2 linked regions of the Oryzias latipes genome follow. The protein of the gene in region 1 binds, or shares a complex with, the protein of each later gene. Links are inferred from orthologs where the notes say so. Each region holds a gene or a part of one and is shown on either strand. Other genes may lie near its edges.

The links.
Region 2: emc10 (region 1) and emc9 share a complex: the UniProt entries of both Homo sapiens proteins name them as parts of the ER membrane protein complex. The link is inferred for Oryzias latipes from reciprocal best matches to the Homo sapiens genes EMC10 and EMC9.

What each region holds. Positions count from the first base shown.
Region 1 is NC_019866.2:3,433,626-3,439,228, reverse strand, and holds the end of emc10 (ER membrane protein complex subunit 10), read left to right. Parts: intron 1-476; coding exon 477-589; intron 590-732; coding exon 733-846; intron 847-1,393; coding exon 1,394-1,578; intron 1,579-2,686; coding exon 2,687-2,780; intron 2,781-3,245; coding exon of another isoform or gene 3,246-3,332; exon of another isoform or gene 3,333-3,343; intron 3,344-3,749; coding exon 3,750-3,851; 3' UTR 3,852-4,034; downstream 4,035-5,603. UniProt on the Homo sapiens protein: Part of the endoplasmic reticulum membrane protein complex (EMC) that enables the energy-independent insertion into endoplasmic reticulum membranes of newly synthesized membrane proteins.
Region 2 is NC_019878.2:23,618,476-23,624,911, forward strand, and holds the end of emc9 (ER membrane protein complex subunit 9), read left to right. Parts: intron 1-97; coding exon 98-174; intron 175-253; coding exon 254-323; intron 324-393; coding exon 394-488; intron 489-4,253; coding exon 4,254-4,434; 3' UTR 4,435-4,634; downstream 4,635-6,436. Other genes in the region: irf9 (interferon regulatory factor 9), read right to left, coding at 5,664-5,831, 6,051-6,166, 6,253-6,436. UniProt on the Homo sapiens protein: Part of the endoplasmic reticulum membrane protein complex (EMC) that enables the energy-independent insertion into endoplasmic reticulum membranes of newly synthesized membrane proteins.

The sequences.
Region 1 (5,603 bases):
TTGCTTAGTTTTTTTCTAGATTTTTTTTTTTTGAATAAAGGAAATAACCCTTCAGTTTCTAACAAATTCAAAGCTTTGTTTACATATCTAATGCATATATCTTCAATATCTCTCTTGGAGATAAGGAGTATACTTGTTAACCATTTACAATATGTTGCATATTTGGGATTATTATTTATATGAAATATATTTAATGTCAGACACTTGTTATTCTATTGAGTCTTAAAAAGTTTTCAGTTTTGGGAAAGTATTCAACATCCTGATCAATGGATGTTATTTATTCAGAATTAAAGTGGATTTAGTGGTAAATTACAATCAATAGATGAGTCTGAGATCAGATTATTGGTGAAAACGAAAGACTGAAAGTGATGGAAGTCTTGTTATCTTGGAAGCACAGAGAGAAAATAATAATTAATGTAAAACCAGACTGATGGACTGAGTTAATCGTTAATGCTAATGAGTTTTCTCCCTCCTAGATGATGTAGCAAAATTTCAGCTACGTGGATCACTTATGTTGAAAACTGGTCGGGAGCCAAGTGTCTCTTTAAATCAGAACCAGCTCTCAGAGGAGGACAGAACCAAACTGAAGGTGAGCTAATAGTGTCATCGTAATAACAGCACTCCCCACAGATCCATGCAAAATAACATTACTGCAGACAGATATGACTTTAGAAAATGTGTTGCAATACGAAGGCGTTGGACAACAGCTTGTGGTTTGTTTTGTGTCCTCAGGAAGTGGCTGCAGTCGACGGCCTCTACAGAATCCGAGTTCCCCGTGTGTTTCTGCAGGCAGACAAACAGACCGAGTGGCAGAGTGAAGGTCACCTCACAGCATTTGTCAGAGCAGTACGTGGTCTACTCTTGATCAGATTCATCTTAAAGGTTTTCAGGAAATACCACATTCAGATCAGGTTGTTTTATTATAAAACCAAAGGGGTTGCAAGTCTCTGTTGATTCTATTTGTGAAAATTAGTCAATTGTATTTGTTTTCAATTTATTTTGTGGAAAAATATTTCTGTTTAAATGATAAACAATAGAATAAATACACATAGAAAATGCCTTTTAGAAAGAGGTTAAAAGTTACAAAAATGCTGTTGTAATGTAGAGGAAGAGATTGAAAGGTTTTAGTTAGATATATGTGATTACCTTGATGTTTTTTCCTCTATCTTTTGAAATATCCCATGAGTTTTTTTTCATTCTTCAAATCAAAAAGTTCTTATCATTTTTGGTAGATTTAAGTTCTAAGCTTAGCTGAGAAAGTTTGTCTGAAGGCCATCACCTTTCAGGCTGAACTACAACTAGAGAGGAAATTTATGTTTAGCTTTAACTAGCTGGTACACTTCAGAGGTTACATCGTGGTAAGGTTGGCCTGCTTCTCCTCTGTGATCCTCAGTGTGCCATGGTTGAGTCCCACCTGAGTGACGTGATCACGCTCCACACCGACGTCTCCGGATACCTCATCGGCGTTTCCATAGTGACTTTACCTGGAGCCTGCAGGGGAATCGAGGTGGAAGACGAAGTTGATCTTGAGGTTTTCAACACCACGCTCAGCATCATGGCTCCAGTCAACGCACCAGGGTCAGTCCTGGTTTCTTTTTTTTTAGTTTTTCTTTTCTTATTTATATTAAAAAATGTCTTTTTCTGGAGCCGATGCTATCTGCTGTATTGCCACAAGCTCAGGGTTGTATATTTGACCACAGCTACCACTCTTATCTGCTTGTCTTGACACACATATGAACTAATGCAGCATTATCTAGAATAACTGTTTAAAATCATTGTGGCGCTAGAAACAGAAAAGTCAAAACGCCACAAGATTCCTAAATGTACAAAACCAAGCAAAAGCAGCTGCCTTAAAGATGTATTTCAATAGAAGTTTTTCAACAAGCATTTCTCCTTATGTTTGATAAATTCAAGTTTAATTTCCTTTACAATAACATGAACACTTCTTTGTTGTATTAGGTCTGATCATCATTTTATCTATTTTCAAAGCGTTCTTCAAAGACAGACTCTGATGAAAATCTTGTTTTGGTGTTTTTAACATGTTCTAATGGCATTTTCCTGATTATGGAGGACATGTATAAAGACAATTAAGCTTAAAACTGCATTCCTGCATATTTCTTTATTCATATAAGGAATCAGGAGCAGACAAACGAATGCCATGTGATGAAGAGTTTATTTGTGTTAATTTTGCTCCATTCTAAAGCATCCACTTGCAGACAAATGGGTCCATAAACGTCTTTGTTTTCCCCGTCTGCGCTGGAATCTTGACCCAAACTGTATGGCTGGATTGCTCTCCACTGTTGTTGCATGGATTATTAAGATAGCATGAGAGTTAGAGAGATGGATGATGGTAAGTAGGGGCAGGCTCACCCCGTGACAACAGTTCTGCCTACCACATTTTTAATGGACTCCTGCCACTGCAGAAAACTGTCCTAGAAAATGACAGGTTTTTGGTTTTTGGCTAAAAACGTGTCATTAATTTATTTCAAAAACGTTTAAAATTATGATGACAAGACCACCGTGAATGCTTTGAAAATAGATCAGAAGACGATCCTTTGGAAGTGCTCAGCTGTATAAATATTTGGGGGAGTCCTGTTTTCCTGACGTCTTTGGTCTTCTCACGTTTATCAGGACTTGTGGAACAAGTCTTTTCCTTCTTTGAATACTGATGAGAACTTTCCCGCAGACCTGAGACGGCGCTCTTCATCCAGCGAATGGAGCAGGAGTTTGAGAAGAAAGGCAAAAATCCACAGGAGCAGAAGTCGTTCTTCGCTAAATATGTAAGTGTTGCACCTCAAGACTGCAGTTTATCGCCATCAGTCTGACCTTCATGTCCACAGAGATGGTTGCTTTAACCTCCTCTGTTTTAACTTGTCTTTGTAACAATGCTTTCAAACCTCTTGTGTAGTCAATTTGGTTGACATCAAGGCAAATAAAGTCTTTCTTTTTTTTTTATGCTAGTTTAGCATCTGTGTCCATAACTTAACAGCAGTTTAGTTTTGGGTGGTTTTTTTTTTTCCTTTGCCTCATCTCAGCCCTGCCTACTATCGCTGAAGGGTATTTTCTTGCTTTAGAGCTGCTGTAACGTTCAGTTTTGTTTGACACGGTCGTGTGGTCCTGTGTTTTCATTGGAGGCGTATGGACCGTGTCCCCTCTCTTGGCTCGGCTGAGCTCCTCTCTGTCTTGTTTGGTCGCGTGCCGTGTCCCCTGTCGCTGTGTTGACTTGATACTGTGGTGTGTTGCAGTGGTATTTGATTCTGGGAGGTGCTATCTTCCTCATGGTCTCCAATTCGGCCCAGCCCCCAGCAGGGGGAGGCAGAGAGCAGAGCTGATACCCACTGAAGTACAGTCTTCTTACTTGTGGCTCACCTGTCCTCCTCCTTCTTCAGTGTTTGTGACTAACTTCTTTACAGTGTGAATAACTAACGCCTCCCTGCTTGATTTACTCTTTTTCATTGGGGTGTTGTATTTTGGGTCAAATGCTAATTACATCTCAGGGTGGTGAATGAAATGATAAAATTGTAAAAATTCTTTCGATGAGGTTCCGATCAGTTCAGAAACGTCTTGTGTTTGTTTGGGTTTGACCCTAAAACTTAATTCTGCTTTTCCTCGTCTGCTCGTTTGTCCTCTTTTAGATTTAACAGAATCAGGAACTCCTTATAGAAACCTATTGATCACACTTCATCCTAAAAACCAAATATGCTGTTGTATTCACCTTTCTTCCTTCTCTTCCCTCCTCCCACCCACAGTGGATGTACATCGTCCCTCTGGTTCTCTTCCTGATGATGTCTGGCGCTCAGGATCAATCTGGAGGTGGAGGCGGTGGCGGGGGTAACGGCGGCGGGCGATGATCAGGATCAGGCCCATTTCTTTTTTTTCTTAAACATATAATGAACGGCAAAGCGCTTTGATTTCTGTACGTGAGGTTATTTAAGAACGATAAGTGTCTGTAACACGACTTAAACCTGATTCATCAAGGACTGCATTCATTTTTCCTACTAATGTGAGAATAAAGTATTTATTACACAGATGAACTTGACTCACATCATCCTTACAGTGAAAAACTGGGATAAGGGCCACCATCCCTCTTATTTAAAAAGGTTGGTGGGCTTTAGGGTAGCTCAGAAGTGTCAAAAAATATCACATTTTATAGGATAAACTTTCACCAACTAAACTTGGTGAAAGTTCATCCTTCAGTGAGCATTAACTGTGAACCAAATAATCGATCGAGTACTGGGAGTAACAGCAGGATCGGCTGACAACAAAACATTGGTCAAAAAGGTCTAAATCCCATCGGAATGTAAATAATCCGTTTTTTGTCCTGTTGTCTCTCTACTGGCTTTACCTTTTTATGCACATGTGATGCATTGATTTATGAAGACCCCCTTTAATTTCCTGTTTACAAGACGATCCTCATTTTGTTGCGCAGCAGTCCTGGACTGAAAGGACCAGATTTTCACGATTCTTTTCCCTTGGTGCACCTTTTAAGTGAAAGGAAGTTTGGAAATTACTACGGGATGGTCACATGACCTGCAGCTTGGTGGCCATTCTGTTGCAAAGTGGGAAATTAGCCGATTTTACCGTTGTTGGACGAACTGGAAAAGAAAATTAGTTCGAGTGATTTTCACAAAATGTCCCACACACACTGCCAGGCTAAGTCTACAGCCACAACCCAAATTTCATTGACCTTTGACCTCAGGAAGAGGCTTCCATCTTGAATTTCCTCAAGCATCATTGGGAAGCTAAAGCGTTGGAATTAGAACTTGTATATTTTGAATGGCGTTAGCATGGCGAGCTTCCAAAAGTGGCGTTCCCCTGTTGCTCGCACATTTTTTACCGGAATGTTGTGAAAATTGAATCTATGAGTAGCCTGCGTCAGACTGGCAACCCATCCAGAGTGTCCCCCGCCTTCGCCCACAAGTGGCTGGGATAGGCTCCAGCAGCCCTGTGACCCTGAAAGAGACAAAACGGAGGAAGATGAATGAATAATCTGAGTCGTTGGCTCGAGCTAAAAAAAATGATATGACATACGATATGAACCTATCAGATATGTGGCTGTGGTTAATTTAAAAGAAAAACCTCAGTTGCCAAGGAAATCCAACAGTTTAACTTTGCAGATTCTTCTAAAACGTGCACAGGACTGTTCGTCACGCCCTGGTGACCAAAAAGTTAAATGGTTGCTATGGAGATAAAACCAACAAAAGAGCTGCCCTTTTGAAAAGTAATTTTTGTCACATGCAGCTCTGACCAAGGGTAGCAGAGACAGAAGAGAGAAGGGCCTGAAGCCAGTTAGGGCAGGTAAAACCAAATGGGGTAATGGGGGCGTGGCGGGGATAATGGCGAGTGTGGGTGGCGCCACTTGCAGCTTTAATTTTTGATGTCTTTGGTTTTTATTTTCAAGACGAAACGCGAAATTTCCAGCTAATGTGGACTTTTCCTCCACTGTTTGTATTTTTAAGTATGAGTCAGGGAGGTCACAGTCTCACAGCAGCACGGCCCCCTGAAACAGGATGTCCTAAAATCCCTGTGTCAACATTGCAACTCCTCTTCCTCCTGTCAATCACCCAGTCTGGCTGTTTTTAGTCAGCACCTCCAACTGCGAG
Region 2 (6,436 bases), on another chromosome or scaffold:
GAGGCCACCGGGAGCAGTGTGGGGTTCAATTCTTGTGAAAACAAGGAGTTTGACGTCAGCCGTCTGACCAAAACAACCGCTCTGCTTCTGCGTTCAGGTGGACGCCTGGTGTTCCCAGACGCAGCAGAGGATTGTGGGATATTACCAAGCAAATGCTTGTGCATCAGACAGTAGGTGAGTTTCAGGATTGAAATGTTGCGGTTGGAAGAACATGGAGATCACTGGGTTTCTTCCCGTTTCTGACCCCCACCAGCCCGACGCAGTGCGCCCTGAAGATCTCGGACAAGATCGCCGAGCAGTTTGACGGCGCCGTTCTGTTGATGGTAAGAGAACGCCGCCTGTGCATTTGCAGCAGAGCAGAGGACTGACCGTCTGCTCTGGTTCCGTCAACAGCTGGACGGCAGCAAGATGCCTCCGGACTATCGGGTTCCTCCCATCGTGATGTACGAGCGCAAAGACTCCAGGTGGATCCTGAAGGACAAACACATGTAAGTCTGCTTCTCTGTCAGCTTCTAGGAGCAGGAAGGAATTTTGGAGAATGATGCTCTCAAACCAATTTGATGAATCCTTTCTATGGATTCAATTAGAGATCCATGAGATTAGGTTTGATTCCCAGGCAGGACGTTTAGCTTTATCTAAAGGCCTTCACACTACTGCCCAACTATGTAGCCACAAGTCTGGGTCCCCCTGTGCCGGTCCCCAGCCCGGATAAGGAAGGTGTCAGGGAGGTGAGGTTTGAAAGCTAACAGAACGCAGTCGCAGCATCGCGTCGGCACTGCTGCAGCTTCTCCTGGGGGTGTTCAGAGATGGAAGGAGGTGAGGAAGCGGCGTTTCCGTTTGAACCAGCTCAGCGTGGCTCGTTCTGCCTCCAATCACATTTTGAGGAGTTTCTACTTTGGCTTCAGCCTTCCAGAACCTCCTCGCTGACAGTTTCCAGCCGAAGCGGACCCCATGCGTGGACTGGAGGGCCGGGGGGGGCCAAACGTTGTCAGATGTAGTGGCAGATGTTTGTTTTGTCCACTTTACTACAGTCGGGTTCTACTCAATCGTGACGCTACGTTCCCACTTGACGCGTGTTCTTGATGGTGTTCACACTGCAGGAGCAGGGAGGGGCTTCTTCTTCTATTGTTTTTACTAGCGCATGTCCCCCCCTCCTACAGTCAGGAGAGTCTTGGTGTGAAATGTCAAAGCGGTTGGTGTCCTAGAATTCCAAACCACAACTATTCATTTCTCCTCCATGATTAATTTTCACTTCCGTGAATTAGAGGGGACGCCGTCCACACGTCACTGCCGAATCCCAGTCCCTGATTGGTCAAAGTTCAACTGGTTTACTTGCAAAATTTTGTACGAAGACACACAAGCGTGATAGGTTTGAACCCGGGGGCCCGACATGCGGGTTTACATAGATTGGAATATATAAGGCGGAGTTGTACGCTTACAACCAGATCTTATGCAGAACAAGGGAAAGGTACTTCTCTGAAATAATTGGAAGTTGCAGCAGCAACTCTCGTATCCTGTTCACAACAGTAAACAGATTAACTAACCCTCCAACCCAGCTACCAATAGAATTGGTTTGTACACCTAAATGTAATGAGTTTGCTGTATTTTTTAATGACAAGGTTCAGGGCATTAAAAAAGCCATCAACTCCACAACACATATAACTATCCAACGGCCACCTACTCACTCTAAGCTGACTCACTTTGTACCTGTCACTGACCAAACTGTCCAAGAGACCATCACCCGTCTGAGCTCGTCTACATGCTGCCTTGATGTGTTACCCACTAGATTTCTAAAGTCTGTCCTGAACAGTGTGTCGCCATCAATTACTCAAATAGTTAACATGTCTCTTCAATCTGGAATATTTCCAGAGGCCTTAAAAACTGCAGTCATTAAACCTCTCATGAAGAAAAGCGGTCTTGATCCCACTGTACTGAATAATTACAGACCTATCTCTAATCTGCCACTTTTAGGAAAAGTCCTTGAAAAAGTTGTCTACCAACAGCTCACTGATTTTCTCTTATTAAACAATTCGTTTGATGTTTTCCAGTCAGGTTTTAGACCCCATCATAGCACAGAAACTGCTCTTATCAAGGTAACCAACGACATCCGCCTGAACACTGATGATGGCAAAGTCACTGTCTTAATCCTGCTAGACCTGAGCGCTGCCTTTGATACTGTTGATCATGGGATCTTTTTGCACAGACTCCAAGACTGGGTTGGCATCTCTGGATCTGCCCTAAGTTGGCTCAAGTCTTATCTAGAAGACAGGAAATACTTTGTTGAAATTGGGAGTTGTGTCTCAGACTACATGGCCTTGACTTGTGGTGTGCCCCAGGGATCGATCCTGGGACCCCTTCTGTTCAACCTCTACATGCTGCCACTAGGGCAGTTAATACGCAGTAATAACATATCTTATCACAACTATGCAGATGATACTCAGATCTATGTGTCACTGACAGCAGGTGAATATGGGCCAGTGGATTCACTCAGCCACTGCCTCCAACAGATCAGTGCGTGGATGCAGAACAACTTTCTCCAGCTAAACTCAGACAAGACCGAAGTTATTGTTTTTGGCCCACAGAAACAAAGAGAAATTGTCAGCAGCTACCTTCATTCTCTGTCTCTTAAACCCTCAAATCAAGTCAGAAATCTAGGGGTAATCATGGACTCTGACCTGAACTTTAACAGCCATATCAAGTCAGTAACATCAGCGGCATTTTACCATCTGAAAAACATTGCCAAAATCAAAAACATAATCTCAAAGCGAGACCTGGAGATACTTATTCATGCATTTGTCTCCAGTAGGTTAGACTACTGTAACGGCCTGCTCACCGGCCTCTCCAAACGAGCTGTAAAACAGCTTCACTACATCCAGAATGCTGCTGCTCGAGTCCTGACCAGAACCAGGAAGTATGATCACATTAGTCCTGTGCTCAGGTCTTTGCACTGGCTCCCTGTACCTCAAAGAATAGACTTCAAAGCAGCTCTGCTTGTGTACAAGTCTCTCCATGGCCGAGCACCAAAGTACATCTCTGACATGTTAGTGCCATATGAACCATCTCGTACTCTGAGGACCTCAGGGGCCGGCCTCCTGTTGATTCCCAGAGTCAGAACTAAACAAGGGGAATCAGCGTTTCAATATTCTGCAGCTAAAATCTGGAACAGCCTCCCTGAAGTCATAAGACAGGCCTCTTCTGTGTTCATGTTCAAATCTAGACTTAAAACATTTCTGTTTAGCCGTGTATATGACTGAAAGGTCCTATCTGCACTTTTCTTTCCTTCCTTTCTTTTTAAATCTTTTTTTTTCTTTTAAAGTAAATTTTATGTTGATTATTTCTATGATGTATTGTGATTTTAATGCATTTTTCTGTTTTGTGAAGCACCTTGAATTACTTTGTGTACGAATTGTGCTATACAAATAAACTTGCCTTGCCTTGCCTTCATTGAAAGCATCGCCATGTGAACGAAGCTTCATGAAGCCTCAACATTTCCAAAACAGGAAGTAGAGCTTTGTTGGGTCCACCTACCTATTATATAAAAAAAACACACCTAAATTCTTTTCTATAAACTCACAAAAAATAAAAGTAGGTGGAGCCTGCTGGCCCCCCACGCACAACGTTCAAAATGTTTGACAGTTACCTGCTGTGAGAGCCGAAAGCTTCGAGTAAATCAATGAAAATTAAAAAACGCTCAAAGTTGACATGGAAAACAGATGCTTTTATTCTGAAAGGTTCCATAAGTCAGTAGTTTAACTCCTAAGGTGAAAGGTCAGGCTGTCGCCTTGGGCTTTTTCTTGAAGAAGAGCCTCGTGTTGCATTCAGGGTCCACACTGTGGGTCACTATGCTGCGTTCAAGAACATCTTCTTGAAGTTGGAATTTAGGTTTCTTTCAAAGTAAAATCCCTTTTATTATTGAAGAAAAAACAACAACCTATGTGTCCTATGGGATGGAACAATCATACAAAAGGTGGCTGTGGCACAGAGGTTTGAAACAGGAAGAGGTTTGATTCCCGCCCTAAACACCCCCACATGTGCTCTTGAATAAGACACTGAACCTCACGCAGCTCTGTGATAATATATTTAAGAAAGTTCTGACCCGTTTAGGTGGTTCTGGGAGGAAGTGTGCATTAGAGACGCTGATCAGATCAATACCTGCAGCTGTTTACATTCCAGCATTGGTGCTGCGGCGGTGTTGGCCGCTACACCACGTGAAACCTGCATTCACCCCTGCCTCTCTGCTGCCCCCCCCCCAGGATCATGCTCCGACAGTGGGAGGAGACTCGGGCGATCGCCTCCCAGATGCTGGAGGCGGGCGATCACGCTCTATTGGTGGACTTTGACAGCCACTTGGATGACATCACAAAGGACTGGACCAATCAGAAACTCAACGCTAAGATTGCGGAGCTGTCCTCGCCCCCCAACGGGAACATTTAGCCCCGGAGGGGGCCTCCATTATTTCTGTGTTCAACCCACCCCCTCCCAAGCAGGGACATCTTTCTTTCAAAGGTGTGGGGGCCACAGACTGACCTGTTGGTACATCCCAGTCTTCCACCCCCCCCCTCTCCTGAGTTTGCTTGTGGTCCAGTCCCGCCCCCACCCGACCAAACTAACTTAAAGTCACTTTTAACCCTGCAGCTCTTGTCTTGTGGTTTTTCACACGCACAAAGACAAATACACGCGCATGTGCACAAACACACAGAGGGTCGCACACATACAGAAATACACGCACAAAAATGTGCAAACACACAGACGTACACAAACAACTACACGTGCACACATATATGCAAACACACAAACGTGCACTTGCGCATAGATTTGCGCACACACAGATACACATTCAAGTACACATGTGCACACACCCAGACATATACACGCACATAGACATGCACACGTTAAGCGCACACACTCACAGACAAATGAACGTGCACACATATGTGCAAACAAATACACGTAAACGTGCACTCACTCAAGCATATGTACACACACGTGCAGTTGTACATAGACGTACAAACAGACGTGCATGTTAACGTGTGCACACACACACGTGCACAGAGCTTGTCCTTCAAACAGGAGGTGTCCCTTCCACAGACAGGTGAGTTTGCAGCTCCAGCTGGAAAACGAAGACGATGTGATGAAGCTGCAATCCGTCTTTTTCACTTTGGAAACCTTCGATCCTCCGTGGATCCACCTCCTCCACGGATGAGTTCTGCTGCCTTTACATTTCAAACGGGAACGTTCGTGACTTTAATCCCGAACATTTGCAGTGGAACACGTGGATGAAACTCAGGAAAGTCCGGTGAGCATCTTCATCTCACAGAGAAGACGATTGGACGGATTTACCGACCAGAACATCTGATCATCAGGAATGTGAAGCTCTAAGCTTCTGAGGAGAATGTGGAAGCAGGAAGTCACACTCCAGATCCCAAAATAAAAGTTTGAACTTGTTTTTTTCCTCCATCTTCTGAGGAACGTTCATGTATACAACGTTCCTTCAGTCTTAGTGTTTCCTGATCTGAAAACCTTCAGTTCACTTGATTTTTGGGGTTGAAGGTTCAAACTTGGCGTAAAGGTGAAATAGAAGTGCTGGAGATGTTTGTGCAAAAACTCCTTAGAGCAAAACCTTCTGGTTGCTCGTCCCCCCCCTCCCTCGGCGGCGCTCCCGGTCAGACGGAGGGAGATGTTGGTGGCTCCTGAGCTGCTGCCGGCACCGACACCAGGTTCAGGGTGATCTCCCCCAGCGGAGACTGACTAGCCAGAGTCTGGAGCACGGAGATGGACTGAAAGATGGAGAGGGCGTTCTGGACCTGCTCCTCCGCCCAGGGAATGGAAACCTGCAGAGGAGGTGTAGACATGGAGAGGATGCTGAGGAGGAGGAGGAGGAGGAGGAGGAGGAGCAGGAGCAACACCTGAGCCTAAAAGCAGGCCAGTTCTGACAACCCCTTCATCTAAAAAATACTACAGAATGTGAAATGGGTCAGAAATAACAGCATGGTTCTGGTTCTGTCTGTGTGTGTGTGTGTGTGGGGGGGGGTCTGAGTGGACCTCCTCACCGTGGCGGTGATCAGTTTGGTGCTGGGGTCCTCTGTGTGAGACAGCTCCTCCCCAAAGCACAGAGTGAAGCTGCACTGGGGGGGCTCGCCCCCGCTGGTCCGGAAATGATCCAGTTCTGCTCAGACGGGAGGGAGGGGGGGGTTAGGCAGACAGAAACATGAGCACCAACCCCCCTCCCCCCCATTGGACAGTGGGACTCACGCTGCCTGAAGATGTCTTTACTGAAGAGCAGCACCGGCTCCGTGTTCCGCTCCATGCGCTGCAGACCCGCTTCACAGCCATGCGGCCCGGTCCAAAAGACCCGCCCCTGGCAGAACCTCTTTCCGTAAACGCCCTGCGGTTGGGAGGTCAGCACCACCCCCCTCTCCATGAAGGGCAGCAGGGT